4 linked regions of the Alligator mississippiensis genome follow. The protein of the gene in region 2 purifies or fractionates together with the protein of the main gene of each other region. This does not show direct contact. Links are inferred from orthologs where the notes say so. Each region holds a gene or a part of one and is shown on either strand. Other genes may lie near its edges. The genes, in order: LETMD1, SLC39A4, AGPAT4 and ABCB10.

Evidence for each region.
Region 1: the proteins of SLC39A4 (region 2) and LETMD1 purify together in Homo sapiens (affinity purification with mass spectrometry; 3 studies listed by BioGRID and IntAct, counting the BioPlex papers as one, with this or other methods). This does not show direct contact. The link is inferred for Alligator mississippiensis from reciprocal best matches to the Homo sapiens genes SLC39A4 and LETMD1.
Region 3: the proteins of SLC39A4 (region 2) and AGPAT4 purify together in Homo sapiens (affinity purification with mass spectrometry; 3 studies listed by BioGRID and IntAct, with this or other methods). This does not show direct contact. The link is inferred for Alligator mississippiensis from reciprocal best matches to the Homo sapiens genes SLC39A4 and AGPAT4.
Region 4: the proteins of SLC39A4 (region 2) and ABCB10 purify together in Homo sapiens (affinity purification with mass spectrometry; 3 studies listed by BioGRID and IntAct, counting the BioPlex papers as one, with this or other methods). This does not show direct contact. The link is inferred for Alligator mississippiensis from reciprocal best matches to the Homo sapiens genes SLC39A4 and ABCB10.

The regions. Positions count from the first base shown.
Region 1 is NC_081838.1:10,319,601-10,327,576, reverse strand, and holds the start of LETMD1 (LETM1 domain-containing protein 1), read left to right. Parts: upstream 1-4,939; 5' UTR 4,940-4,992; coding exon 4,993-5,084; intron 5,085-5,226; coding exon 5,227-5,366; intron 5,367-6,563; coding exon 6,564-6,679; intron 6,680-7,079; coding exon 7,080-7,162; intron 7,163-7,976. UniProt on the Homo sapiens protein: Plays an essential role for mitochondrial structure and function, as well as thermogenesis of brown adipocytes.
Region 2 is NC_081826.1:1,540,410-1,548,512, forward strand, and holds the start of SLC39A4 (zinc transporter ZIP4), read right to left. Parts: upstream 3,026-8,103; coding exon 3,000-3,025; intron 2,108-2,999; coding exon 1,105-2,107; intron 1-1,104. UniProt on the Homo sapiens protein: Selective transporter that mediates the uptake of Zn(2+). Plays an essential role for dietary zinc uptake from small intestine. The Zn(2+) uniporter activity is regulated by zinc availability.
Region 3 is NC_081824.1:138,633,993-138,641,801, forward strand, and holds the start of AGPAT4 (1-acyl-sn-glycerol-3-phosphate acyltransferase delta), read right to left. Parts: upstream 3,099-7,809; 5' UTR 2,947-3,098; intron 2,142-2,946; exon of another isoform or gene 2,117-2,141; intron 1-2,116. UniProt on the Homo sapiens protein: Converts 1-acyl-sn-glycerol-3-phosphate (lysophosphatidic acid or LPA) into 1,2-diacyl-sn-glycerol-3-phosphate (phosphatidic acid or PA) by incorporating an acyl moiety at the sn-2 position of the glycerol backbone.
Region 4 is NC_081824.1:149,023,818-149,031,089, forward strand, and holds the start of ABCB10 (ATP-binding cassette sub-family B member 10, mitochondrial), read left to right. Parts: upstream 1-4,269; 5' UTR 4,270-4,287; coding exon 4,288-4,534; intron 4,535-7,272.

The sequences.
Region 1 (7,976 bases), on a different chromosome or scaffold from region 2:
ATTCCTCAGCCGCCGGCGCCGCCGCGCCGCCATGTCCCGGCTCCTGCCTGCCGCAGGCGCGGCTCGATGACGTCAGAGGTCACGGCCGGGCTGGGCCCCGCCCCCCGCACGTGGCCCGCCCGGAGCCGGGCGCGGGAGACCGTCGCGCCCCTAGCTCCTGCCTGCGGGGAGTCGATAAGCCGTCCCCGTTGAGTTAATCTCTCGTAACCCCCCCCTTGCTCCTGCCCGAGGTGTCGGTTACGTTATTAGGACAACCAAATAGTTGGGAAAAAATGGTCGTTCCAAGCTTTCAGACACAAACACCCTTTTTCAGGCATAGGGAGATTGCCTGAAAAAGGACATTTGTGCCTAAAATGCTTGCAAAGACCTTTTTCCCCCAACTATTTTAGTTGGTTTAATAAAAGATATCACATCTACCCAAAGAACCTAGCCTGCCTATGTCCTTAGACCAGGGACGGGCAATTATTTTGGGGGGAGGGCCGCTTGCTGAGTTTTGGCAAGCCATCGAGGGCCGCATGACAGGAAGCCAGGGGCAATTAAATATTAATTTTCTTAAATTTTTTAGGGGCCCCGCGGGCTGGGTAGAATGGCCTGGCGGGCTGCATTTGGCCCTCCCCTGCCTTAGACCTACACGGCTGCAACCAACAACCCTCCAGCTCTGAGATTTCACTTGTTTTTGACTACAGAAAAAGCAGTAGAGCAATTCCTCTGTTGCCAAGAACTCAGGAAGACCACGACAGGTCACAATGTTTTATAGATCCCTATATGAAAACTCTGAGCTTATCTCGTGAATCGTGTTTTCACACCAAACTGCTAAAATTGTGTTGCACCCAGCACCACCCTTGAAAGGAAAACTGCACAACTTGCATGGGCTGAAGTTCACTTCATATCAGGGCTTTTACTGAACCAACTACATGGTTGGGGCAGACTTAGACAAGCTTTTGCATGCAGGGCATTCTTCTTTAGGTCAGGTGAGGGCATACCAGTCTATCCCAAAGTGCAGTTGGTCGAATAACAGATATCAAAACCATCAAAATCCTTCCCTTGCATATTTTCTGCACCATCATGGCAACATCACTCCCATACCACTACTATCATTACTATCCATTTTGGTTATTTCATAATAAGAAGTAAAAATCCACTGTAATTCTTCCCAAACAGAATTTGTTGTCTTTGCATAAACATGTATCTAACTTTGGTTTGGATTTAGAAGAGATATATATTTTAAAGCTGATATTTTGAGCAATAGAAACATTCTGGTGGATTTTTTTTTAATGCGAAATGTTCTGTGGGAGAGAAATACTGTTTCCCTCAGAGCTCTGTTGTTATCTCTGTAGTCAGTGCGATTTAAAAAAAAAGAAAATTAAGCCATTTTCTGAAATTAATTTTCTGAAACCTATCAAGCAGAATTGTTCCATGTGTGAAGTAATTTGGAGACGGAGCAGGACTGGGAATGGCATCTCTCCCTGGTGATGTTATCATAACGTACCAAGAAAGACCTGCCATTACACACAATCTGATCCCCGACATGGAGAAGACTAGGCAGAGAGACTGAGAAAATAAAAGGAGGCAGAATCTTGGCAGCTGACATAAGAAATACCGAGATGTGATCCCATAAGTATCTCTAACAGATACTTGCTTGTCTCTCTGGAACAGGACAGGCATACAGAAAAGGCAACAGGACCAATCAATGGCTTTTAAATCTTTGCTGAAATTTGGATAGAACAAAATTCACATTCCTTTTTGAAGCTCTACCTTTTTCCCAATCAGACAAGTGTTGCAATGCTTATTCCCTTCTGCTTAAATGCATGAGAGCACAAATAATAACCCAAGATATTATCAGGGGAGCAAAATTACTGAATCCAGCAAAGGTAAGAGGGCAGCAAATCTGTGGGGCTCTTTGCTTCTGGTAAAAGCAATAGTTATACATTTCAGTTTGGGGATTAAAATTGCACAAACACCCCACCTCTCCCCTCTCAGCAGGAGTATGACAATATCACCCTGTTAGAAGAGCTAGGAACAGGATTGACAAGGCTGGATCAAGGCCAAGGTTTATCTAGACAGATAGTGTCCTATCTCCAACAGTAGCCAACACTGATGCTTCAGAGGAAAGGTAAAGAAAATCCAAGTAGCTAAGTACTAGCTTTCACCCAGGGAGTTTCTTCCTGATCCCCCCAGGTTTATGTTATGAAACATGCAGATTTATTTCAAAACCTCCAAAAAGGTTTAGAAAGGATAATTTGGAAGAACAGCCAGTAGCTTCATTAGACATCTAAGCAAAGGCACTTCCCTAGAGCCGATCCCTGAATAGCGAGTAGAATGGAGCTGGGGGACGACGACCCCCCAAGAGATTTATTCTTAGTTGAACAACAAAGTGCTCCACACTCAGATGATTCCATAGTTTGGCAAGGCCTCCTACAACCGAAGGAAATGGACCCTCTAGCTCTTCCTCGTGTTGCATTACTTACCCATTTCGCAGGCCGGAGGGCTCTGGTTTATGGACTGTTTGTTAGTCATTTTGTGAACCGGGCAGACTCTTAGCTTGCAATTCCCAGGAGAGAACAGCACAGCCTGCTCTCCCCTCTCTATATAACAAGTGCCTCCACCCAATAAGATAAGGGTACTTCACACTTGCCTTGGACTGGCTGGCATAGGGCAGAGCTACTTGAAAGAGGCTTGAGAAGTTAACAAGAATATTCTCCCAAGCATAATTGAGTCTATCTCTGTGCTACAGTAATTGATGACCTGACAAGGTGGTTATTAGCAGGGAATTAATTGGAGATGAGAAACTTTGATCAAGGGCATTCTCCCGATACAGGTAACTATCTGATCTTGGGTACAGTGAGTTATATTCACCTCCAAACAAATGCTAGTAGTCAAGGATACTAAATTAAAAAGTCATTTGGTAAAACCTCAAGTACCACCCAGGCAATTAATGCATGTGACACGCTGGACTTTGCTTCAAAGGGACCATTTTTCAAACAGATTACAGCCAAAACTGGCATGGCTGCACATTTTTGAGGTACGTGCAGCACTGATAAGATGTCAGTCATCTGTTCCATCAGCTGGAGAAATACAGCACCAAGTATCGCTGGTCAGTGCCAACCAGGAAACCTCATGAAGTGGGATGTGAACAATTGATGACCTGGAGGCTACTGATACAACCGACAAGCTTCTGTGCGTTTCTTCTGATAAGCAAAGAGCTGAATGTGCTACCCTTGAGAGGTACAGGGGAACAGGGCAAGGGATGATTAGAGTGCAACCACGCTACCATCTCAGCCTTTTCATGGATACCACGGAGGAATGGTCCCCAGTCTCAGCTGGCCTACAACCACTCATGCTGGACAAGCAACTCCCTGTGGATAACAGCAGCCTTGTCTCTCCTTGCCAACATCAGTCTAAGCTTTTTAATATCCTGTGGTCACGAGCAATGTTGGAGGGTCCTGTGGGCAACGTATAGCCTAGAAGCTGTGGGTCCAGGACCGCAGCTATCCAGGATTACTTGGGCTCACACTGCTGTGCAGCAGCTCTTTGGCTGTCTAAAGACACTGGGTAGAAAGCCACCATATTGGACAGGCTCTTTCTCCCTTCTTTCACTCAGTGATAGGCAAGTTGCTACTCAGCGTGATAGACTACTACAGGGTAAAAGCTGGGATAGAAATTTAGCCCCTGTAACAAAGGAAGAAGCCAAGTAGAACAAGCCAATGTTGTATGTTTCCAGATCGGGCTTCTCAGTTTCCACCCCTCACCCCCACTTCACCTTGCTCTGAAATAAGACACTGGAATTGGAGACCAGATACAAAACTGGGCAGGACCCTGCTCAGAAGAGATAGTTTGGGAACCCCTGCTCTGAGGTACGTGTACCCCTGTGGGTATACAAAGCATCTCTGCGTGAGGGGGTACACAGGAGAAATTGTTTAATAGCAATTTAATTTTCATTATAATTGGCACTTAAGGGGTTAAAATATAAACCGTATGCTGGTAGGGGCATGCAGGCAGCTGGTTAATCTGGAAAGGGGGTACATAATAGAAAAGGTTTGGGAAACTCTGAGGTAGAGAATCTGCCCTGGTAGCACTGGATGAGTTTTGCTCATATTTAGGGTGAACCTGCTCACCAGAATTCAGGCCAAGTAGGATTTTTCCCCTCTGAACCAGGGAACCTGGTTTACCTGACCTGTTCACTGCCTTCCCCGGCAGCCTGTTGGGATCACAGAGGCCCATGGCACCTCGCCACTCCTCTGCCCGCGCGGAGCTCAGGGAACGGCGCATGTTTCAGTCTCTTCTGTCCTCCACCTGCAGCGCATATTTTAGTTGTGGGAGGACCGAAATGTTGTATTTTCTTCTTTATAACAGCAAGTCTCCAATGCCTGAAGAAGGGCGTTTGTGCCCAAAAGCTTGCAAAGACCTTTTTCCCCCAACTACATAGCTGGTTTAAGTATCACATCTACCCAAAGAACCTATTTTCTTCACGTACAATATGGACCCTTCCAGGGACGGGAGTGGGGAGTCCCCTAACAACTGGGCTCTACTTGACTGAAGCCCCGGGGTTAAGGGAGGGCGCCTGGGGGCAGCCGGCCTGACACACAGCGGGGCCTGTCCCAGAAGCGACGCGCGGGGCAGGAGGGCAGAAGGAGGCAACTCCTCCCCCCGGAGGAGCTCGTGCAGCTCCGCAGGTCGCCAGGCCCGAAGCCCGCGCGGACGTGACGGCCGCTGCGCCCCGAAGCCAAAGGCCGCGGCGTGTAAAGGTCCTGAGGGATGATAACCGGTCAGAGCGCTCGCGTGCCGAGCCCACGTGCCCGCCTCGCCCTACTTCCGCCTGCGGTCACGTGCCAGGAAGGGGCGGGGAAAACCGTCCCTCTCTCCGCTCCGCGCCACTTCCGCCTATGGTCACGTGCCAGGAAGTGGGGTGAGGCGTGGGGAAGGCGCCGCCATTTCCAACCAATCCTCGAGTCCGGCGCTGCCCTTTGCCCTTTGGCCTCGCGGCGGCCCAAGATGGCGCTGCCCAGGCTGAGCGGTTGCTGGGGCGCTTTGCGCTTGTTACCGCGGGCGGGGCCCGCCTGGCTGCCCGGCCGCGGGGCGGTGAGGTGAGCCGAGCCCCCAGCTCCCCCCTCCGCTTCCCTCAGCGGCCGTTATGGCCGTTTCCATCCCCCCGCAACGGCCCGGCCCGTCACCCCGGGGTGGGGGCGGGGGCGGGGCGGGTTGTCTGCAAGTCCCCTTCTGCCGCAGGCCGCTGTCCTCCAAGCCCGACCCGCGGCCGCTCCTCAGCGCCCTGCTCAGCTCCGTGAAGCGCGCCAGCGGCCGGTACGAGCGGTTCCTGGAGAGGCGCTTCCCCCGCTTCTACCTGCTCTACGCCACGTCCCACCGAGGTAGGTGCCCCTTACACCAACACGGGTGCAGCCTACTTGCCCCGGTATCCGAGGCGCGTGAACGAACGCGCCTTCGACCCCCGCGCTCAGGTGCCGGGCTCTGGCGTTGCGCGGACGTGCTGATGAGCACTAGACAACAGCAGTAAGTTATTTCTGAGCAAACCCCCGTGCTGTGCAGCAGAGCATGGTGCCGCTTCCCCCGCTCCTCAAAGCACGCAGCTCTTCCTTCAGGAGACGCTGGTCGGGTAGCGGGAAAGCATGGGGAGCTGAGGTAAGGGATGGCACTGTCCGCTGGGCAGTGTCCTCCCCTCCCACGGGCCTGAGCCCCAGCAATCCCCCATCAGCGCTAAGAACCTGGAAACCAGTCGGCTCGTTACAGGCCAATCATCAGCCTCAATCCCTGCCGCTGCGCAAGGCACTAGTTAATTAGTTGAAAAAAAAATTAAATAACGCTACAGAATACTGAACTTCTTACTTTGTATTGATGAGCCTCAAAGTATGACATTTCCCTTTCTGATATTACTTAATGTATTAACGCAGGGTAGAGCTATGCTTGTCCACGTGGCCCTTGGCTCGTTTCTGGTTTGAAGGTTTGGCCCACTTGTTAAAAAAAAAAAAGAAAAGGCTGAGACCACTGCTGCAGTGTGTCCTACAAAGGAGAGTTTCTTCAGTCTTTTAACACGGTTATTCTGAAACATTGCCAGCCCGTTACAAACCAGGCGCTCAGGTTTCACTGACTGTTGCGCCGATCTGCTCTGGCAGTTCTTGTCTTGGCTGAAGTCAGAGTTTGCAAAGTCACCGGGAGAAGTAGTCCTTACCTCTGAAGAGGGGAGGGGGAGGAAAGGAGATGAAAAACCTCTTGCCTTCCTCTCTGTACGACATTTTGATGATTCAGAGTACATCTGCAACCTAAAGCTTTTGGCTTCCTCACCAACTCCCTCTCACATTCTGGCTGCTGCTTTTGATGGACTGGGTTAGATGCTGATTCCACTTCTCCATCTCGCCTCTCACACAACTGTCAATTGTGGCATGTATGAAACCATGCATGATGCATCCCATTATACTGTCACACACTGCTGTCAGCAGGCAAACTAAAGGGGAGGTAAAAGTTTGCAAAGGGGCTTTTTTTTTTTTGCTTGAGCTGGATGGGGCTGTGCTCAGCACAAGGCTTGAAGGTTCTCTTTATATTCTGCACAGGATTTAAGGCATTGTTTTTGGAGGCAAAAGAAATCAGAAAAATAAAGATTAACATGGCCCATCAGGGGATCAGTTTTCAGCAGCTTCCCTACAGAGACATGGAGAGACTGAGACAGGTGGGCCCAGCTTCTGAGGTTCTTCAGTATCTGTAAGTTGTGCTGAATTTCTCCAAGAGTCAGTTGTTTTGACTGAATTCTCCAAGCCCGATGGGCAAACTCATCCTCATCACACGTGCTTCAGTCAAGGGAGTTCCCTGTTCTAGGATCTCTGCTGCCCACCGCCCCCAGACGGCATTTTGGTTTATGAGTGGGTCAGCTGACTGTTTAACCCAAGGCAGCCTGGTAGCTGGATCTGGTGTATAACACTCCTGGGCCTGTTACTGAGCATTTCTCACTGAGAGCAGGGTTAGAGAGAAGGTGGTGGGTTGGAGGCCATCTCTTCCCTGCCCCATCCCCAACTGCCACTTGGGTTTCACTTGCTTGCCGGCTGCTAATCGTTGTTTTACTTCTTGTGCAGTTTCGCAGGGATCTGATCAAGGCCATTCCAGTATCACTGCTCTCCCTTCCACCTTTTGCCAACTACTTCGTCTTGGTGCTGATGTAAGTACATCCTTCCCAACCTTCCCCCCAACCATGCTAGGGCCAGGGCCTTGTCCTGAATAGAGGCTCAAATGAGGATTGTAGTCATTAGGAACTGGAGCTGACTCGTGCCCTCTCTTGGCGTTTCTTTTTCTGTTTCTCAGATGACGCTTGTGCTATTCTTGGCAGCCCAATGAGGGGGGGTTGCTACAGAACAGCTGTCTTTGTTCCTCCAGAGACTATTTTTGCAGCCATTAAAGCAACACTTGTATTCAGTCAAACTATAGTTTCCCAGTCAGATAATTTTTCACCCCACTTGAGTTGTTCAGTTGCTTGTCTAAATTGAGCAAACACAGAAAGGAAGGGCAGCCTGTTTCCTGTCTATCTGTCATTGTCTGGGCACCAGACATTAGCTGGGATCTGAAATTTTCTATCAAATTGATTTTTTCCCTCCTCCTGTGCATATTAAGTTTCCATCCCTAGGTTCTCCTCCACAGGAGACCCCTTGCATCTCTCGGGATGGTCTCTGCTCACTACATACAACTATGCAGGGTTACGTGTTTTCAGTGTCCCCTTGCAGCAAAAATAAATATGTATTAACAAATCAGACAGGTTTATTTTTGCCTGAGGATTCTTAAAATCCCTGCCCCATGCCTATGTCTTTCATTGTAACCTGATGAACACTGCAGACCATGTTGGCATTTGTGATGCTCGCCGTCACGTCTAAGTAGATTTGCCATCAAGAACGAGTTCTCTTGGACTCCTTGCAAGGGTCCAGACTTCCTGACTCCCTTTCCAGCTGTCCTCCCTCCACTCTGCAAGTGCTGTTCGTTAC
Region 2 (8,103 bases):
CCCTCCCTGCCTGCAGGGCAGACGGAAGGAGGCCAAACCAGTCTGCCTGGCCCCTGCTGCCGAACAACACAGCCCTGTGCGCTGGGGTGCACGTGCACGCCCTGGGCCCCCAGACTGCACTTGCACCTGGCCTGCGTACACAAACACACACTGAGCATATATCCGCTGTGCACTTCCATTAGGTATACCTATACCATGGACACATGCACTGGGCACATAGTACATGCACACCAGGCATACATACATGGTGCACATGCACTTGGCATACCGTACACACACACTGGGCATACCTACCCCAGCATACCTACTGCATATAGTGCACACGCACCCGGCACACACACACAGTGCACACACACTGGGCATACCTACTCTGTCCATACCTACTGCATACAGTGCACACACACCCGGCACACATACACAGCGCGCACACACTGGGCATACCTACCCCGTGCATACCTACTGCATACAGTGCACACACACCTGGCACACATACACAGGGCACACACACTGGTCATACCTACCCCGTGCATACCTACTGCATACAGTGCACACACACCCAGCACACATACACAGCGCGCACACACTGGGCATACCTACCCCATGCATACCTACTGCATACAGTGCACACATACCCAGCATGCATACACAGCGTGCACACACTGGGCATCTAGTGAACATGCACTGGGCATTTAGTACACACACCCCAGCATATATACCCCATGCACACATACAAGGGACATGTGTCCTGTGCACACCCACTGCATGCAGCGCACATGCAACAGGCATACTGGCACTGGGGACACACACTGGGAATAGAGCGCCCATAATTCACATGCCCCAGGCTTACAGGCATGGTGCACGCACACTGCATACGGTGCACACGTACCGAGCATGCCTGCACCGCGCGTGCACACTGAGCGTACCGTGGCATGCACACACATGCACACCAGGCACCCCGGGCACACCGTGCATGCACCCGGGGCGTAGAGCGCTCACGCCCGCCGTGCGGGCACACGCACCACGGGCTCCCGGGCTCAGTCCGCGCTGGAGTTTGGCCGGGCCGGGCCGGGCGCAGCCGGGGCGGGGGCGGGCGGCGGCCCTTACCTTTCCACACGGCCCGGCGGGGCAGTGCGCACGGGCCGCCGCGATATTTAACAGCTCGTCCAAGTCCGCGCGGCGCACGGAGCCTTCTCCCGACGGCAGCGCGGCCCCGGCCCCGGCCCCGGCCCGCGGCACCACGGCCAGCGCCAGCAGCAGCAGCAGCGCGGCCCGCGCCGGGGGGACCATGGCACCACCTGGGGATGGCGTCGAGCGGCGGCTCTCGGCGCAGGAGTCGGAGCCGGGCAGGGGCGAGATGGAGCGGGACGCGGGCGGGGGTCCCGGGGCAGGAGCCGGGCAGGGGCGCCGGGCGGCAGCCGGAGCCGGGCACCGGCGAGATGGAGCGGGAGCACGCGGGAGCGGGCCGCGGGGGGAGCCGGGCGGGGGTCCCGGGGCGGGAGCCGGGCAGGGGCGCCGGGCGGCAGCCGGAGCGGGGCAGGGGCGCAGGGAGCCGGGGCGCGGGGAGCCGGAGCCGGGCACCGGCGAGATGGAGCGGCAGCGGGAGCACGCGGGAGCGGGCCGCGGGGGGAGCCGGGCGGGGGTCCCGGGGCGGGAGCCGGGCGAGGGCGCGGGGGGCCGGGCAGGAGCCGGAGCGGGGCAGGGGAAGCTGGAGCCGGGCTGGAGCTCCGGGGCTCGGGGCTGGCGCTGCGCGGAGCAGGGCGGGGGTTTCTCCGCGCCGCGGTGTGAGGCTGCCGGGCCCAGGTCCCTCCCGCGGGGGCAGGGCCTGAGCGCAGCACGTGGCCGGGAGCGGGCCCGGCCTGGGGCGGGGGGGCACCCGGGGGGGTCGGTGCTGGGAAGAGCGCGCCGGACGTGAGTCAGGGCAGCGGGCAGCGGCGGACGGCTCTGCCCGCGAGCCCACGTCCGCGCGGCCCCGGGCAGGAAGGGGCAGCTGCGGGGCGGGGGCCACGGCTTCGCGGCTCCTGTGTCCGCGCCCGGCTGGCACCCCAGGACGGTGTTTGCCCCTCGGCAGCCCCCGCCCGGGCAGAGTGCGGCCTCCCCGCTCCCACCCCTCGTCCCCCCAGCCCAGGAGCCCCGGCAGAAAGGTCACCACGGGGCTGGGTCACAGGGGCACGGGGCGCCAGCTGGCGCCGGGAAGAGCTGGCCGGCCCGCGGCTGATAAGGAGCCCGGCCGTGTTTGCTCAGCTCAGGCAAAGAGGGACAGACGAGTGCCCTGGCCCCTCCGCAGCGCCCGAGCCGAGCTCCTCTCTCCCAGGCAGGATCCGGCCCCGGCCCCGGCCCCGGCCCCGGCCCCGGCCCCGGCCCCGGCCCCGGCCCCGGCCCCGGCCGCCCCGTGGACCCGCAGCAGCCGGCGGAGCGCCGGGCCCGGGGCCTGGCCCAGAGCTGGAGCCCGGGAGGTGCCGTCGCGTGCAAGGACTCACAGGCAGGTTGCACATGCACACAGGTGTGCACACACACAGGCACACCCGCACACGTGCCCCCGCGCACACTCGTCTGCATGCATACACACAAACGTGCACATGCAAGCGCACACATGCTCGCATGCACACACGACACACGTGCGCACGTGCACACACGGCACATGTGCATGCACATGCACACATGCACACACCAGCTCTCCCCTTGCCCCAGCCCCCCAGTCCTGCTGGGCGCAGGGGTCAGGAGCTCCCAGGCAAAGGGGGCAGCTCAGCCCTCCCCCCCCCACTGCCCTGGGGCAACCCCCAAAGAGCCCCCTGCAGGAGAGCACCCCCTGGTGGTTGCCCCTAGCACCACCTGCCCTGTACCACCCCACCAGGCTGCAGCTCTCTCCCCCTGCAGCTGCCCCCCAGCCTGCCCTTGGCTCCGGCTGGAGCTGAAGCCTTTGATCCTCTAGGGAACCTATCCTGAGTCACCCCCGGAGCTCCAGGCACTTTCTCATAGCCCGGCCCAGCTGTCTCCCTCACATCCTGCTTTTGTCTGGGTAGGACATTGCCCCTCCCCCCCGAGTGTACAAGGCACGCATATGCTTTTGCACACACACATGTGCAAGCACTGTAGACCAGGGCATGGGTGTGTGTAGGTGAGTGTGCAGGGAAGCCCATGCCGCATCCAGCTGTGGCCGGGAGCATGGGGCGAGCGCATCTGGGAACGGGCACAGTCGAGGCGGGGTACAGACGCATTGTGGTTGCCATGTGCAGGCGTCCACATGCTTGCGGCGGGGCGCAGCGCTGGCATGTGCGTGCATCGGCATGTCCTGTGTGTGGGGCAGCGCCTTTGGTAGCTGGGGGGCGGGGGCGGGCAACCGTGGCTTGTAACCCTTCACATGCTGGTTCCCTTCCCCCCCTTAAGCCTTTGGTTCCTCGGGGACTGCAGGGTGCCCATGCGGGGTGGGGGCTGGAGGCTGTGCCTGAGCCCTGGGGCTGGGGCTGTGTCTGTCCAAGGATCCCTGACTCCCAGGATGTGCTCTAACCACTACACCCCACTCCCTCCCCAGACCTGGGGCTGGAACCCAGGAATCCCAGTGCACAGGGCCTTCCTGCCCCCCCCCCCGCCAGCGGAGCCCACTCCTATCCCTGAACCAGGGAGAACCCCCCCCCCCCCCCCCCCGTGCTGCCCTGCCTCTGCTCAGCTCTGCCCGGTGCCACCCCCCAGCTCCGAGGCCGAGGGGCCCCAGGCCTCCACACGGGCTATTTGAGCGGGGATGACACAGCTGGCGGAGCCTGCGTGCACACCCGCTCACACACGCACACAAACACGCACAGCTATCAGGAAAGCGGGGGAGCTCCGGTGCCTGGGGAGTGAATCAACTTGACGACACCGGGGCCCACTTCCAGGGGCAGCGCGGTCTAGCAGTCACTGCCAGAGGGACTCCCCCTCCCGGCTCCTCCCGGAACTTGGCACATGCCCAGGCTGGCTTCCTGTACACAGTGTGTGCCCCCCACAACCTCCAGTGTTAAAGGGGCAGCTCCTGTGTGTCCAGACCCAGTCTGCATTGATGTGTGTGCACACCCCTCCCACGTATGTCTGCGCACACACCCACGCATACACACATGCCACCCCCGGACATGCCGCCCTCACACACACACACACCCACCCACACATGCAGACACACCAACACACCCACACATATGCATGTACACCCCCCCAACACACATCCTATGACCCCAGCTGATTTCCTGCCCCTGGGGCAGGGGGCTGGACCCGGTGATCTTCCGAGGGCCCTTCCAGCGCGAATGTCTACGAAATCTATAAAATCTACAAAACATGCATGTGCACACACACACGCACGCACATTCTTACACATGCATGCACATCCCTGTCCCCTTACACATGTATACATACACACACACATGCATGAACCCCCCGACATGTACTTGCACCCCCCAACACACACACATGCACACGCGCACACACACACACTCAGTGTTGTTGCTAGGCACAAGCTTTGAGTCTGAACCTGCCCCTGCAGCATCTCTGGGCTGGACCTTCATTAAGCCCCCGGACTCCTGGGCTCTCTTCCCCGCTTGGCCAGAGCGTCCCCCTGGCTGGCCTGGGGAAAGCCTTGGGCTCCTGTGGCAGGGCCTGAGAGGCATGAGTCCCCACCAGGCACCCAGCAGGCAGGGCAGGGGCCGGGCAAAGCCAGGCCAGACCTGGCGCTGTGCCGGGGAACGTCAATGCCGCGCCCGGGGCAGGGGGCCGCGTCCTTGGAGCCTGCAATGCCTTGCGCTCCCAAACAGCACCATAAACGGGCCCGATTGACACCTGCGTGACACTGCCCTCTGTGCCACGCTGTCCTCAGGTGCTCTCAGCCCCAGCTGAACCTCAGCCCTGGCATCGGCGGTCCCTGTGCCATGCCAGGCGCCCTGCCAGCCCGGCTGCCCTTCGCTCGGGCCCGTTCATCAGCAGGGGACTTTCCTCCGGGCTGATAGGGAGGCTCGTAAACCCGCTGGCGCTGCCATGGCTTTGGCACTGAGGGCATGGACCCCACTCCAGAGCCTGCTGCTGAGACGTTTAGCCCCTTAAATCAGGAGTTGGGGTCAGGGCCATGCAGGTCTCCTGGAGGGGACTGGGCTGGGGGAGCCCCGTGCCCTCACTGCAGAGCCCAGCAGGGTCTGGGCACTGCCCGTCCAAGGCTATGTGACCCGGGGTCGGTGCAATGGTCTAGCACGTGGCACCAGGTGCAAGGGGGGCTGGAGCAGCTGAGCCCGGCCTGGAGCTGGGGGCACCGGGGGAGTTGAGCTGGGAGATGTCATTGCCCCGGTTGGGGGTGGCAGCGGTATCCTGCCTGGGCTGTGCCCCCCCGGGGGGCTGGGTCCAGACCCCACAGCCCACCCAGCCCCAATTTGCAACCAAGTCCTGGTGGTGCTGGTGGCCGGGGCTGGGCCCGAGGGGTCCCTGCCTGCTCAGGGTCTTGCACCCCTGCCCTGGCAGGGACAGCCCTAGACACCCCCATTGCCAGACAGCTGGGAAGGAAAGCATGGCAGTCAGGCCCAGTGGCCTAATGGATAAGGCATCAGCCTCCGGAGCTGGGGATTGTGGGTTCAAGTCCCACCTGGGTCGACCAGCTGCTGTCTTTTTTTCCCTTTTATTTCCATGCATTACATGGGAGGCTGGCAGCCGGGGGCACGGGCCGGGTTTGCCCAGCACCGGGCCCGGGGCAGCCAGCTCCCCGCAGCATATCCAGGGGGGCCTCGCGCCTCTCGAGCCCCTGCCCTGAGCATCCCTTAGACCCGTGGGGCCGTGCCCAGCAGAGCAGCAGCGGCGATGACCCTGAAGCCTAATGATGACCCAGTGGGCTCCTTCCCTCCAGACTGAGCCTGCCTGCTCCAGCGGGGCCCAGGCCAGCTTGGGACAGGCACTCCCAGGCCTGGCCCCATCGCTGGCAATGATTAAAGAAGTGCTGAGTCCTCCTGGGGCAGCTTTATGGCCTGCTATAAACCCCTGTTGAGATAAGCCAGGGCAGGGCGAGGTTGGGGCAGGACTGGAGCGCGCCGGTTCCCTGCCCCAGGGTGGCTGGACGTCCCCGCTGGCTGCTGGCAGCTCTGCCGGGCCCAGCCCATGTGGGCGGCTCGCCCCTTGCTCGGGACATTGTGACCCAGTTGGCATCGCCCTGTGGGTCACAAACCTGCCAGTCACCAGCCGAAGCTGACCCTGGTGTCACGGCCTGCAATGTGGCTCCGTGGCCGAGCCAGCAGCAATCCAGGGAGCGGGTGTGGGAGCCCCCCGGGTGCAACCCCTGGTCTGTTGGGGGGTGAAGGCAGGGCTGGGGGGAGTCTTCCTGCTTGGGGGGGTTGTGGGGCTCCTGGGCTCAGCCCCTGGGGATGCTGGTGCTGGGGCAGGACCGGCAGCACCAGCTGGTGCTCCATGCACGATGCGTGGGGCACAGCCGTGGTGAGGGACGCTGCCTGCTCCAGGGGACAGGTCCAGAGCTGGGACAGGGACAGCCGTGCCGGCTCCGCGGAGGTGCCTGTTGTCCATGGGCAGTCAGGCGGTGCACATGCTGCAGCCAGCCCGGAGCTGGGCAGGATGTGGCTGGGGCCGAGGGAGTCCTCGACCTGGGGGGACTCGTCCCTGGTCTCCCCCCGAGTTGGTGGAGCCAGACCAGGCCAGGGGAAGGGGCTGGAGGGAATGACCCTCTGCCCCTCCTGCCTTGTTGCCCCTGAGCTAAGCCAGGTGGGGAAACTGAGGCAGGGGAAGGGGTGCATGCCAAGCCGGGCAGCGAGGCAGCAGCAGCAGAAGTGCCCCCCCACCGCATGCTGGAGCAAAGCAGACAGACAAGCCAGGGGGTAGACATGGGACAGGGAAGTAAGGGGGGAGGCAGAAGAGCTGCCCTCAGCTCCTCCCTTCCCTGGTACATGCCCCCTGTGCAGACACCAAGCAGCCCCGGGGCAGGGACAGACTGCGGGTGGGGGCTGGGGACTGCCAGAGGCCTGGGCCGGTGCACGGTGCTGTACGATGAGCTCAGCACCAGCTTCGCCCCTTGCTCTCCACTTGTGGGTGCCGCCCCCCCAACCCCTTATGCAAGAGGGGAGCGGAGCGCTGGCATGTCCCCAGGTATGTCCCCGTCCCGGCCCCGCTATCCAGGGGTCACTCGGTTCACACGGAGCCAAAAGCTGTGCCGGGCTGGTTTCCGCTGCTGCAGCAGGGTGCAACACAGGCACTCGTGTGCTGCATACATGCGTGTGCCTGTGAGCATGAGACCAGCGTGTGCGTGTCCTAGTTCCCCCTCTGCTCCTCAGCAGGAAGGAGGCTGTCTTTCTTCTCCAGGGCTGTGCAATGCAGGGGCGGTGTGGGGTGACGACAACAGACCCTCTGTGCCAGCCTTTTCCAGGCTTTACAGGCAGTGCCTGGCACCTGCCCAGCCCAGGTGCTTCCTGCTGGCACCCATCCTGGGACAGGGCTGGGGGGAGCTGCTCCAGGCCTCTTTTCCTGATGGAAAATCCCCCCTCCTGTCTAGCCACAGGCGCCGGCACAGGGCAGCGAGTGGCAGAGCTGCCGCGCTCCGCGTGGTGATGAAGGGGGGACCCATGGGTGGAAGTTGCAGGAAAGGTGGTTTATCTTGGGGAGCAGGAGACTTCTTCGCTGTGGGGGGAAGCGGGGGACCCTCCGTCACTGATGAGGTTGAAGTCGGTTGCTTATTCCCAGTTCCTTATTCCTGGTTCCCTATTCCTTATTCCCAGTTCTTTATTCCTTATTCCCAGTTCTTTATTCCCAGTTCTTTATTCCTTATTCCCGGTTCCTTCTTCAAAGCTAATCTAGACCCAATAAAAACGTGTTATTAATGAATTACACGCCCTAAAGAGGGAGAATTTCATTAGCTATGCATATGTATTGATTACTATGTAAAATAATATCCCACATCAAGTACAGAGCCCTAAATGAAGGTCAGATGAGGATGGGATTATGGGGCAAAATACTTCTTGGGGCACCCCAATTTTCCTGTTGATGCCACTGGGGGACTGTCCCAAAGACCGCTGACTCCAGTCCTGCCTGGCCAAAGCACGGTTTGGCCGTGCCAGGCTGCCAATTGACAGCACGCCAGCCACTGCGCTAAATACATGGACCTGA
Region 3 (7,809 bases), on a different chromosome or scaffold from region 2:
ATGTTGATCAACATTGTAAGGAGGTTACCTAGCCTGCTGGTTTCTGCAGGTGTGCTTTTGCTTCCTCAGTCAGTCCTCTGGCAACTGTCTTTAGGCAACAAAGACAACAGAAAAACACTTCTGCCCGGTCCCATGCACTTGCAGAGGAGCTCTTTGGCTCTGCCTTCCAACATAGATTGCCTGCTACAAGGGGAGCAGGCAGTTATAGTCACACCTTACTTCCTCCTCTCATGCTTACCTTTCTGGGAACTTCCTGAAGTTCCTAACAAAATGGTTCTCAACCTTTTTAGACTCAAAGCACCCTTTCATCACTTTTGTTAACTGAGTGGCACCCCATTTCCAAAACAAGTGTATGTATAGCAATGCCTACCCCTTTGCAGAACGACCAGGCAGTAGGGGCAAGAGAAATGCCAGGCAAAGACAAGCCTGAGTTTATCTTCTGAGCTTCTCTCTTACCCTTCAAAGGATCCCAAAGACCACCAGTTGAGAACCACCATCACAGCCACCCCCTTGACTATCCAAAAGCCCAGCAGCTCTCTCAACTGGGCTGTTTCCTCTTAAAGGAACAGACCTGCCTATTACAAACCGTTTTAATTACTCGGTACATTGGCAGAGAGCTAGTTGGTACATCCACCAGCCAATTGGAACATTTTCTCTCTGTGCAAGTCCTTGCACACTTTGCAATATGATCTTCCTCAAGACAACAGTCAAATTTCAACTTGTCCTCATCTGTTCAGTACTGCCAAGATTACATCCGTAAATACAAAGAAACACATGCCTCCCTACACAGGGCGTTGAACCTAGAGCCTCATTGTTCCCTGGTTTCAAATGGCTAAAAGTGTGATTAAGCAGTAAGAGGACACAACACGCATCTCTGTTTAGAGAAAGATACAGTACAAGTTTCAGATCTTAAATCAAACCATTTCTAAAGAGAGGAATCAGAGACATCTGAAGCCAAATTCACTTTAGCCCCTTCCTATGGGGTCAGAAGAAGAGAGTTAAACCTTTTTTCTCTAAGAGCAAGTTACTACAGAGTGACAAAGGGAACAAATATACAACTCGTGAGCTCCTTTCCATTAACTCTTGCATGGACACTGTGTTCACAGATTGCTTTTACACTAGGGGTCTTTATTTGCAAAAGCAGAACTCACTCACACTTAGCACACACAGAGAACAACTCTATGGGGCAGAGCTGCTGTTGTGTTGTCAGTTCACAGTGCAGAACTTAACTCGCTTAGGCAAGCGAGCCACTTTTTTTTTTTTTTTTTTTTGCAACAGCAGTCATTAACAATCCAGATTAAGATTATACTGTTAGCACAAGTGCCACTGTGGTTGCATCACAGTTCTCAGAAGTATATGGGTTATTGTTCCCCTTTTCACACACACCCCTTTTGTAACCGATTAGTAGTTTGGAGTAGCAATGCTGAATCTAGATCAGCAGTTTCCAAACTACCTGAAGTCACCAAGCCCTTGCATACCACTTCTGCTGCAAAACCCCTACCCTGGCTCTGTAGGCCAGGTTGGCCAACAACCTGACCCAGCAATAGCAGCGCACCACCTCCCAGCTCCTTACCCCCATGACCCATCACAGAACCCAATGGCACAGTTCAAAAACCACTGCTCTAGATTAAGGTTACAGCCTCCTGGAACAAGTGCCTGCATTAATTTCACTGTTGTTCTTAGAGTTGCATCTCTGGGTTTACAGATGTGCAGCTCTTGCAAATGGAAGACAATTACACACAGACAATGCCAAGCAGAAAACACTGATCAGAACAGCTGCAGTACGGTTAACAAGGATTTGTACTCAAGTTAACATTCACTTGTTGAAGCAAATCCTCTAGTGGAGCATCTTACAAGTGCCAAGCAATGCTCTGGAGTCTGGAGATTTAGGCTGATGTGACAGTGTTCAGGCAGAGCGGTCTTCACTTTACTTTAGATAGGCTCAGATATCTTCATTTAAAAAAAAAAAAAAAAAAAGAAAGAAATCTTTATAACAAATCAAGAACATGCTAAATGCAGAGTGTCCTTCACTCCTTGCAAACACCACTCCTATTCTTTGTATGATTCTTCTAGGTGCAATGGGAAATTAATAGACTCTATTTATATACCTACATACCTTTCATTCAAAACATCTCATTATTTAGGCTCCACACAGGCTTCTTGATAGGAAGCACATTGCTGAAAGCAGCTGTAAATAGATGATCACAAATGTCTGTTTCCACAGCAACCCCAGTCTCCCTACTCCCCCCCCCCCCACCCTTTATTGTGATAGGGGAAAACCAAAATGAAAGTAGAAGGGGAGAGTACAAATGCAGGCTGGATCCCAGCAAATATCAATCCGTGCAGAATATGCACAAGTGCAACATCATGTGAGAAATATGGATAATATTTAGGGCAAGGCCTGGGGAATTTTTGTAGTTTCTATGGAAACAGTGGGGAGGAAGGAGGAAGAGAGAGAGAAAGAGAGCGAGCATGTGCATGACACAAAGGGAATCAACAGATAAGCAGGAAGATTCTCGTTGGCTTCAGCTTTTTTTCCCCCCCAAACAAAGGGATGAAATGCACGAGGAGAACAGAGATGAAGGCACTGCACAAATGGGAAGGACAAGAGCAAGCAAGGGAGGGGGGAGCAATCAAAGTTCTTCCCTAGGAGGCTACCAACCTGCAACTTGCCTCCGAGCACAGGCTGCTCCAGCACACGCACCCCTCCTCTCCTCTCCTCGCAGTCTGCCCCTGCCTGTCCTTTGCCTCATTACGCTCACTGTTTCAATGCTTATATACACACACATATATATATATATATATATATATATATATATATATATATATATATATATATATACACACATATACACACACATATATATATAGGCAATCAAGTGAAGTCAAGACCAGCCCCCTTGCAAATGCAAAGTTCTCTGGAAAGTAACAGGAATCATCACATACCTTGTGCCTGCCAGACCTTGACATATGTGCTTAGGAACCAGACAGAGAAAGGCTCTGAGACTCAGAAATTGCTACTAGTTTGCAATGAGCTGTAAGTCAGCCAAGACTGGAAAGAAAGCCAGACTCCACCCTTGGGGTGGGCCTTGAAATCAAAAAAAAAAAAAAAAAGAGCGGTTCTCAGCTGACGTCTCTCCCTACCCCATGTCACTTCCTTTTAAAGCTACAATTCAGCAGTCCAGGGGAGAGGGCTACTAATGCAACATCTGCATGACTCACCCGCCCCCCCCCCCATCAATTAGCAGGAGGAAGTAAGTCTTTCGCTTTTGTTTCCCGTTGGAAAGCACTGCTACAAAAACCTCCTGCCACAATGCAGGCAAAGCTTTATTGTAGATCACCCCCTCCCACACACACACACACACTTAATCCCAGCGCTTCCATTTAGGCAGGCTTCATCTTTCTTCCCCAGGCTGATGGTGGTGTTAGTGTCATGACTTGAGCACGTTTGCTAAATTAGATCATTACTAATTGAAGAGGATTACACTCCATTTGCATTATGCCATCCAAGATGGGCATCTTTGATCCTCTCTCCCCCCTGGAAGTTATTAAGAAGCACAGGAGAAGCAGCAGCTTGATCAAGGAAAGCAAATGCACAAACAGGACCAGAACTTTTGAAACAAAAATCCAGGATTTAGTTACAGGCAGAGCGCGATGTAACAGCACGTTGTCATTACACTGAGAATGCTGAACATGAATGAGAACAATGGCATTTCAGCAAGCAGTGCTGGCTGCATCCCCATATGCTGATTCAAGGCTGCGTGTAAAACCCCGGACACAAGAATGGGACAGATGGGGGCAATCCAGGAAGAGTGCCACCGAGTCCTTCAGACGGGATGTTCAACAGCTGCCATGGATGCTCAGCACCATCCCTTAGGGGAACTAATGTGGTATCCAGGGTGAATCTGAAACAAGTGGAATAGGTGGTAAGGTGATGAATACAACTCTCTCAAAAGGGTGGGGTGCAAGGTGTCTCCTACAGGCATTTCAGAGAGAAAACCCTCCACCACCTAGATTTAAGATATACTTACTCAATGATCTGGACAAAGCAAATATATATAAATATATATATCTATATATATATATATATATAAACACCCTTTTCAGATGGCTGGCTTCCAAGTGCTGAGTATCCTGACACACGATATTCACCATCTGTGAAACCCAAACATTTACTGTCAGTCTTTGATGGCAAAGTGAAAAAGCTTCTTTCATGAATGAACAGAATGGAAAATGGCAAGAACAATGCTTCTTAGATGCACAAAGAACTGGAAAATGAAGCAAAGCCTGATATAAGAGTTCTCGGTACTGGTATTTAGAGGTGTGAAGCACAGGAGAAACACCACCACCTGGCAAGTAGAGCACCGGGCTGAAACAAGACATATTGGTTGTAGTCTCATGTCTGTCACTGATCCACTGGGTAACCAGACTTGGGCAAGTCACTTCCTCTGTGCATCAGTTTTTCCCACTTGTAAAACAGAAATAATGACACTCAGGAGCTTTGATATCTATAGACAAAAGATACCATGGAAGCAGTGGGTATTCTTACGGGCATTAATTGCATGACTGCATTTTTTTAACTGCATGACTGCATTTTTCCCCTCCTTTTTACAGCTCTGTTTAGTGCCTAAAGTAGACAGGTTCATAATAAATGAGGGTGCTGTCTGCGGGTTCCTTGCCTCATTTGCATCAGATACTAGAACCTGTGTGGTTGAAGTGGTAAAGGACCTAGGAAAACTAGTGGTAAAGGACCTAGGAAAACTAGATTTTTTTCTTGGTTCCTTCAATATATGAGTTTTGGTAAGTTACTTAATGACATTAAAAAAGGGACTGGGGCCCTAAAGTAGGATTTAAGCAAATGTTATGCTTACATCCAAAATTGCAATCTCAAAAAGTCCCTTCTCGACTGCTTCCTCATCCTGCGGGTATCCAGGTTGTAGCCATATTGGTCTAGTGGCACCTGATTCCTCATCCTACAGGCATCTAAAGTCATGAGACAGGTTCTGACATTAAACATCCTCTAGAAACCTTCATTTCTTTGTGCCTAGAAATGCCTCAGTCTGAACAGTGCTAAACTGCTTGGCTCTTCCTCCAGCCATGCTTTAAAACAAGAGTGGCCCTTATTGCATTTAAAAAAAAATAACAAGGGATATTATTATATATATTTTTTTAAAGGAACTACCCTTAAGAGGTGGTTCTGAACTGTGAATCCCAAGTGGAGCAACACATCTTCACTCCAGCTGCAGAACAATGGAGAGGTGCAGCTGAAGGGGATCAGTGCTGTGCACTCATTAGCACCTATGAAAGCACCTACGAAAAATCAGATCTCAGATGTCTCAGAATAGATATCCACTCATTGAGGAACCCCAAATCAATGGAAGTTATCAGTTTTGGCTGAAGTCTCTCTGCCACAGTTTCCCATCTGTAAAATGGAAATAGTAGCCATGAAGAAAGTAATACTTCTGTATTCAAAGCAGGGTTTGCACAATGTACAGGAAATATGGCCTGGAGCCAAATAAACACTGATAACAGAAAAGAAATATGAACAGCTGCCTTGTCTCCCCGAGACCCACCCAACTTGAGCAATGAATGAGTCAAACTTTCTGAACAAACTGAGCATGTAATTAATATCTAGAGTAGATAGGGAACTAAATCCAGGCTACACAGGGCATTTTTGATGTTTCTGAGTTTTTGTGTGTTGCGCTAGGTAGCCTTAATCATGAGTTTTTTACTTAGTTTTGCACACACATATAGAACTCTATTATTTGTATCAAGTAATAATCAATGATTCTAATCAAGATCATGACCTTGTCATGTTAAACATGCAAGAAGACCAGATCCTAGCTCATCACTTGACAACTATTGGGTGATGTGCATGAAATAAGTTACTGATCTTAACTCAATCTGTCCATAACAACTGTTTGAGCCATGCCAGGCAGAGCACGTTAGTTACGTGAGACCAAATGGAATAAAAGTGCATCTCTCCTACTTTTACCAGCTGGAGTGGATTAGCACATATCTATATAACTGCACAAAGGATTAGATTTAATAAATTTAACCACAACTTAAGGGTTGGCTGTACTATCAACGTCTGCTGCTTTACCTACATGGCTACATTTAAAGCAATAAAATTCTTAGTGTTGATATAAATATAAATTGACAAAAATGCTTATATTGGCATAGTTTATTCTGAGATAAGGTATCTGTATACTGGTATAACTGCATCCAGCCTAGGGCTTGTATCAATGCAACTAGTACAGGTGGAGGAAGAAAAAATTATTTGGGAGTGGGGCTGAGTGTGCCCCCATGCCTCTCAGGGTGCACATAGCAGCAGGAGCTGTGCCCCCTGGACAAGCCACTCATGGCTCAGTCCCATGCTGCACCCCAGCTGTGCAGCGCCTGCCTAGCTCCAGCCCCACTCCCACTCCCTTCCTCACCACTGCGCGTGTGCCCCTCCCCATCCCTGCTGCAGCTGCAAGAAGCCTGCGGCTGGGCTGCCTTGTGGCCCTACCACTGCCCTGAGTCTCAGGGTCTAAGCCCCATTAGCCCCCCCCCCCTTTCTGCTGCCTATGACAACTAGGGTGAATTTTTTTTTTTTTAATCACATCCTAGTCAAGTTAATCATCCACAAGCAAGCCATATGAGGAAAAACTGACAGATATGGGACTGTTCAGCCTAGAAAAGGCTTTAGGGGGATTTGGTGGCAGCTTACAAATATATCAGGGGTGAACATCAGGGGCTGGATGAACAACTATTCACCAGAGTGACCCAGGGGAAAACCAGCAGCAATGGTTATAAACTTCTAGAAGAAGGTGTCAGACTGGATATAAAGAAAAACTTCACAGTTCATGGAGATCTTCAAAAGGAGACTGGATGCACACTTTGCTCAGGTTATTTGACCCCAGCAGTCTTTCCTGCCCAGAGCAGGGGGCTGGACCTGATGATATTACGAGTTCCCTTTCAGCTCTAAACGCTTGTGAATCTCTGACTTCTCTAGTGTATACCATTTTAAGTGTAACCTGTACCAATTCATCTATTTTAGTCATTTAGTGATTCCACTATCTTTATACAGGAAAGCTTGCATATATGCAGAGCACATACGAACAAAAATAACCTGTTGAAGTCATACCCCAGGGGCACAGTTATTTCTGTAATAGATTTATTCTTGCATTGAGGATTCATATCAGTAAAGCTGTGTTGAATGCAGACATGACTTTAAGATGGTGTATGCCTGACTCAGTCCTTTACAAGGTTTAGTAAACATGCATTTGATATTTGGTGACTGGAGGAGTTGAGAAGGAATTCACTTAATGAGTTTCTTCCTTTGAACTTGGATTCATTTTAGGGATAAATCCACAAGGACTAATTTATAACTGGCACATTGAGCTTTTAAAAGAACACCATTTCTTACATTAATAAGATACTGAGGGTGGTACTTTCAAAGGGTGTCCTAAGCTGCTTTTTGTCAGATCAGGCCCAATATTTGGATGTACACTTATCTGCATGAAAAGGCTGTATATGCATATGAATTCTCTACTTTCTTTAAGTATCCAGTTTGCACATGCCCATGAAGAAAATTATTGTTTGTTTACTTGTTTATCTACTTGTGCTGTATCTGATTGTCGCAGGGCACCTCGGTGCCCCTGCTCCTGGAAAGGAGAAACTGCCAGGGAGCGAGTGAGCGTGCCCTGGCCTGACATAACGAGCCCAGCTGAGGCTTGCTCAGGTAATGAGCGCAGCTGCAGGTTGCCGGAGCAACCAAGGGGAGCCAGCTGCCTGTAGGAGGCAGGGCCTGGCCCTTATAAAGCC
Region 4 (7,272 bases), on a different chromosome or scaffold from region 2:
TTGAAGAATAAAGGTTCGCATTATTTATTTATCCTATCTATTGCTTATTCCAAAAAACATTTTAGAACACTATGAATACACATGAAAATTGCCATAATATTTTTTTTTTTTGTCTGTAAAAAAAAAAAATCTGACAGAAAAAGAAGTGTTAAATCTGCTAGGAGTTTTCATACTTTCTGTAAAAAGTTATGGTTCTATCATTTTAATCTTTATTTAATTGGGTGTTCTTTGAAAATAACTTTAATTCCAAATCTGCTCGGTACTTGACCGAGTCTGCCATGGTGTGACTACCTGTCAGACTGTAATACTAGCATGAATCAGCCTTGTAAAAATTCCAAGATTGAAAGTTAGCTAATTTATCAGGAATTTATTTGTTCTTGTCTAGACATCTACACCTCAAGACCAAGTATATGCCCAAATTGTTCCTGCTACGCCAAGATCCATGTGTGGAATCTCATCCCCTTCACATAGGTACGGATTGGAGTGCCACTGCAGCACAGGCCACATCCTCCTCCCTTCAAGTACTATGAAGGCTCCCCGAGGTCCAGTATAAATGCAGAAGGGAAATGGGTAGTCTGGGCAGTCTCATCCAAGAGTGGAGAGGTACAATATCACTTTCTTTTCTGGTCTGATAGAAGTACAAAAAATAATTAATCCAACCCTTGAACATCTTTATTCTGAGGATTGCCACAGGAACCCAGGGACCCTCCCGAGGGGGAGTGAGCGTAGCTGGTGCAGAGGCTCAGATTTTCCATGTAACACTGACCTCCTGTTTATCACACAGGATTAGTGAAGTTTGGGAAAAGCTTTCCTAGGGTGATGGTGCAGAGACAGGAATTCACATTGTTGAGAAATTAATTTCCTCCGGGTTTTAATCACCGTAAGGGTATATTCTGTTGTACTCAAGTTCTCCAACACAGCATTTCATTGCAACATGGCTGAGACCTTAAATTACAGGACTTTCTATTGGTATAATATTCTTGTGAGGTTTTGCAACCCTACACACCAAGTTTCTTCCAGCTGTGTTTCTTGTTTGTATGTTTGCTTTGAGACTTTTTATGGGCCATCTATGGCCTTTAGAAGAACAATTGGTTTTTTAGGAGAGAAGAAAAATTCAGTTATCTGATACCTTCCTAGATAAGGAATAGGCAGACAAGGTTTATTTGGGGTAAATCTAATATCTTTTATTAGACCAACTCAAATAGTTGGAAAAATTTTTCTTTATAAGCTTTCAGGTATAAATACCCTTTGTCAGGCTGAGGAAGCTTCCTTGCTTAAGGCAGGGGCCTCAGCCTGATGAAGGGTATTTATACCAGAAAGCTTGCAAAGAAGAATTTTTCTAACTATTTGAGTTGGTCTAATAAAAGATATCAGATTTACCCAAAAAACCTTGTCTGCCTATGTCCTTAGACCAACATGGCTACAACCTATGTACCCTAGATAAGGAATAGCGTTTCATGAAAGAGTAAAGGTAACCTACCAATTGTAGGATTTGGGCTGCATGAGGACCAGTGAGTGTGAATAGAGATTTCTAATTTTCTGGTTAGCAGATTTTATTGGTTCATGTTGTGTCCTTGACTTTAGAGTGACTGAAACTTGTACTAGCAGTCACAGAATTTCAAATACTCAAGCCTGCATGTATCCTATGTGGTTTGAACATTCAAACAGACTAGAAGTTTGTGCTGTTGAAAGAAGGTATTTTTGTTTTCTGCTTTTTTTCTTTTTTGCGTGTGTGTATGTAACGATACGGGCAACTAACACTCAGAAGCTTACTGGGGGTTTAATTTGCATTTGGAAATCTTCATAAGGGAAGATGCAACAGGACCCTGTTACTATATTCTGTGAACTTTGACCATAGCTTAGCACTTGCTAGGAAATGTAGTCCCTTGAACATCTTTTTTATATGCTACATAGGAACACAAGAATTGCCACACTGGGTCAGACCAAAGATCCATTTAGCCTAGTATCCTGTCTCCGACAGTGCAAATAGTGGATGCTTTAGAGGGGAGTATAAGGAACAGTGCAGAGTGATCGGCTCCCTGTTTTACCCACCTAGTCACCATGAGTATGTTACATTCCACTCCGTTGTGTTGAGTAGCCCCTGGCAGACCTATCCTCCATATATTTTGTCTAATCCCTTATTGACCCTAGTTACACTTTTGTCCTCCACAACATTGTATGGCAATGAGTTTCATTGGGTAGTTCCAGGCTATTTTTATTCATTCTATTTATTGCTGTTGGACATTATTTCTGTGATGCTGAACATTGCATTAATGGGATAATACTGCATTATCTTATTTGTCACCACAGTTATGACACTTATAAAATGTAGCTTCATTTGATTTGGTACAAAACAATAAGTGCTTATCCTTCAGTATTGCCCAGCCTACATAAGAAATCATGAGTCAAGCTCAAAAAATCATGAGTTTAAAATCATAACATTTTAAAAAATATTAAGTTTAGGTTTAAAATCCTTTCGGACTCATGCTTTCAATCTATTCTCTCTAATGTTGGGGGGTGGAGTTTTTTTATTAGATGAAGCTTGAAATTCTCACATTTTAACATGATTCTAGGAGACAAGGATTTAGAAAGAAGAAAGAAACAGCAAAAACTAGCAGCGCTGGAAAGCTAGGGGACACTGGGAACTCTACTAAAGATGAGAAAGGATGGACTGTGTTGCTGTGTATCAGATATAGCCACTGCATCTCATAAAAAATCACAGAGCATCTCATACAAAAATTATGGCTCCTTTTTATGACATCTAGCAAAGTGACAAAAATATACACTATAAACCTCCAGCAATACTACTGTGCATGTTATGTAAGGCCATTCATCACTGCCCAAAGATGCCAATAATCATTTCCATTTGGCTTGCGAGTCTTAGGCATACTCCCCATAGAGGTGGTACATTCATCCACCCTGACAATCTTCAGAATGTGTCTTGATGCCCTCCTTGCTGGTGTCATCTGATCTTGCCCAGGCAGTCTTTCTTGCCCAAGCGCAGGGGCACTGGACCAGATAATCTTGTAAGGTCCCTTCTAGCTCCTAACATCTATGAAACTATGATAAAATAGTCAAATACTGCTTGTACTTAGTTCATGCATACAAAGTCTTGCCTTCAGCCAGAGGTTCCCAATTTTTTTTCTTATTGTGTACCCCCTTCCACATTTACCTTTTGCCTGTGTTCCTGTACCAGTACACGTTATATTTTAACCCAGTTAAATGCCAGTTATTATCATAATGACAATTAAATCTGCCATTACACAATTTCCTAGGGGTATGCATACCAGTTTGGTGAACCCTTGTCTTAAGCAAAGAGATATATGGTGATAAAACCAGGAAAAAAAATAGTTTTGGTGAGCATTTAATGAGCCAGTTGTTTGGTGTTCCTTTTGTGACTGACTGAAAAGTTATTTTAAAGCCAAGGCTATATTTTAGGGGTAAAATATCATCATCCTAGTAATCATTGTCTCTTCGCACCAAGTAAGTTTGTGTTATATATGTCATATCTATCTATAGATCTGGATATGTCTCTCTCTCTCTACTGCATTATATAGTTTGTGCTATATATTATAAGCACAATGTAGCAGTTGAATAGTGGAGAGGTACACATGTACACTAACAGAAGTGTGTACACACACACACTTTGTTTAGTTTATAGGTACAAATCTATCCTCTCTTCTCATCACACCAGACTGGGAAAAGGAACTGGGATGGCACCAGAACGCCTCTAACTTTAAACCTGGATGAAGGAGTTTTAAAATGAGAGGCTTTTCCCCTTCATGGGAATTGTTCTCAGCTCCTTCCCACACAGCAACTGGAACATAGCTGAAGAGTTCCTGTTGAAAGGGCTCTGAATGGTTTGTGTGTCCACAACCTGAGATCCGACAAGGAGCCCAGAGGAGAGACCAGGCCGGTGAGCTAGCGGAGATGAGGAATGGCGTGGTGTCACTATGTGTGTGTGGAGGTGATGAGGGGGCAGAGGCTTGTGTGTGTAGATTTGAGGAGGGCAGAGGTGTGCGTGTGTGTAGCGATGAGGGGAACAGAGTGAGTGTGTGTGGAGCTGAGGGGGACGGAGGCACGCGTATGCAGTTACGGGGAGTTGAAGGGACGGAACGTGAGTGTGTGCGGGAGGGGCACAGGCGTATGCGGTTGCGTGCGGCGGCGGGAGGTGTCTCCCCTCCCCCTCAGGCGCCGGCTCACAGAGGGGCGGGGCGGGCTCCCGGGGCCGTATGAGCCGCAGCACCGCCTCCTTCCGCCCCGCCCTGCTCCAGCCACTGCCTGGCCATGGCAGGCCCCGCCGCTCGGCTGTTGCGGCTGCGGCTGACCCTGGTGCCGGCCTGGGCCCGTGGCGCGCCTCGCCCGCTGCTGCTGCCGGCCGGCTCCTCCTCCCGCGCGGCCTCGGCCTCGGCCTCGGCCTCGGCGGCGGAGCGCGGCGGCCCGGCAGGGCTCGAGCCGCCCCTCGGCGCGCACCGCCACCTGCGCCTGCGGGAGCTGCTGGCGCTGGCGCGGCCCGAGCGCGGCCGGCTCGCAGGTACCGCGGGGCGGGGCGGGGCGCGCCCGGAGGGGCCCGAGGGAGGCAGAGCCCGCGCCCGCTTCCCTCCCCAGGCGCCGGCCGGAGGGATGGGGCTGCCCAGCCAGGCCTGTGTTGCCGGCCTTTGCTGGTTGTCCTCCCCCCGCTTTTCGTGCTGCATCTGTCAGGGGCGTTTTAAGTCCCCCCTCGGAGGCTTTGACTGGGGGTGCCGCCATGCCTGCTGGGCCCAAAGTGGGGTTCCTGGATAGAGGGTCTTGCCCCACTGCTTGGGGTCAGGCCCATTGCTGCCTGTGGGGTCGGGAAGGCATTTGAGGCCATGGTCAGAGGGGGCGCCTACATGATACAGGGCCATAATTGTAGCCCCTCAGAGCAGCCTCGAGTCTGCCGGAGCAAGGCGATTACCGTGGTCCCACATCTCGTGTATCCGTGACCCTGCCACAAAAAACAGCAGCGGAGGCCCTTTAACTAAAGCTCGTTCCAGCTTGAGTTAAAGCACCTCCACTGCCTTTTTTTGGGGCAGGGATGCTGATGCACAAGATGCTGCCCAGGCACTTTAATTAGAGAGGCTGTCAGGGCACAGACAGAAGTGACAGTTTTCGCTGGATCTGGCTGCAGAAAGCGGTCTGTAGCTGTGACCCAATGCACACACCCAGCTATAGACTGCTTTGAAAATTTCTGGGTGAAAATGTTAACCCTCTTTGCAGGAGGGTTCAGAAGAAGGCATTTCAAAAGATAACTTCTGTAACTTGTGTCTGCACTACCTGAGTTGCTCTAATTAAGGCACCCCCACACACATGCTCCTGGAGCATGTTGTTGCCCTGGGGGCTCTGCCTTCCTCTGTAGTGAGGCCACAGGCCCCTGGATCTCCTGAGTCAGGTGTCAGCAACGTTTTTGGGCAGGGTGCCAAAAACGCCCACAACCTTGACTTGTAAGATACTGGCATGCCAGGGGTGGATGGCAGGGGAGCTGCAAAGAGCTCAACCCTTGTTGTGGCAGTGCAGCCTTGGCCCCATCCCCACCGTCCACCCTGAGGCACGTGTGCCAAGCAAAACGCCTTCGTGTGCCACATTCTGGCACCCATGCCAGGGGTTACCTACCCCTGAGGGTATATTGACGAACAACCTTTCACAGAAGCAGGATGTTGGCTGCTGTGGTTTCCCTGCTCTACCTGTAGCAGGTGGCGGTGTTCAGTCTGTGTTGTGTCAGGGTTGACAGCTGACTTATGTAGAGTTTAGATGATGGTTTGGATAGGGGTGGTCCTGCCTCAGGCAAGGGGCTGGACTAGATCAGTGTTTTGTTTTTTTTTAACTCATGGGTCAGAAGAATATATGAAAGGGTTGCAAACAAATTTAAAAAATGGATTTTCCTTTAAAGGAGAAAAATGTAGGAAAGCACGGGCAGAGCTCCAGCCTGCAAGGGGCTGCTTGGGGCCCACCATACCCCATACATATCTCCCCCAGTGTGTGGGGCTGGGGGGTCTGGGGCCTGGGGATGGGGGGGCAGTGGGTCAGGAGTGAGGGGTACCAGCAGGGCTGGGGGCTGTTTTCTACTTAAATTATTTACTAGGTCGGGACTGGCCGTCGATGTTTACAAATGGGTCCTGATACAAAAAAGGTTGAGAACCACTGGATTAGATGCCCTCTGAAGGCCTGGCCAGCCTGACTTCTTATGGTTTTATGATTTTCTGTCATTTCAGTGACTCCCAGCCACAGGTCACAGCACCCTGAGGTCTTTGGGTGCCCTGAGGTCCTTTCAGGGGTGTTGCAGGGTGCCCTGAGGTCCTTTCGAGCATGCTGCGGGTGCCACACAATGTTAATGCTGGTAGCAAATGTAGCTCATGAGATTAAACCCAGAGATTTCAAAGAAGGAATCTGTCGTGTTAAATCTGTTCTGCCTCTCTGTGGGCTTCCTGAGTTGTTTGCACCAGAAGAATTGATGTATTACTACCTTTCTGTGGTCAAAGAATAAGTGAAAACAGTTTTCTAGGGGCACCCTGATTTTTATCAAGGTGTGCCTTAAGTCTGAACAATGTTGAGAACCACTGCTCTGAGGTGCAGCCCTGCCCTGCCTGCTTCCTGACCTCACAAAGAAAGCAGGGCAGGGTGTCCTCTTTGGCCACATCCAGACAACTATGGACATGCAGTGTGTGGGCCGCAAACCCATCTGTGGCTCCACACACCGCATATGCAGGCATTCCCTGCACTGCTACCTTGCTGAGTAGGGATTTTTTTTACTCCGGGGCGGCAGCGCACACCACCCATAACCAGAGTGTGGCTGGCCAGAGCCACACTCCAACTATCGGCCAGGCTCTCAACTGCAGGAATGCTGCAGCTGGAGCTCCCCCAGGTCCCCAAGACTCCAGGTGAGGCTGCTGGGGCCAGCACAGTTGCTGGCCTCAGCCTCCCCTACCCCACACAGAGTAACCTGCCATGCACCAGAGCACCTGTGGCTCACGCATTCCTGGGGACAAGTAGCAGCATCACCAGGTGCTGGAGAACTGAGCTGTAGACAACAACATGAAGTACAAGAAAGATGGGTGTGCTGCTGCTGCTTGTCCCCAAGGAAACAAATGTCCGTGTTTGTCTGGATGCAGCCTTAGAGAGCAACTCCAGTGCTTGAACCTCTCCAGTGATGGGGATGTTAGAAATAGCGTCCTAGTTAGCATCACATCCTTCTAGGAAGTGTTGGAGTAGTCAGGCTTTAGATGCTTTGTGCAGAAAAGCCCCCCTGGCCCCTTC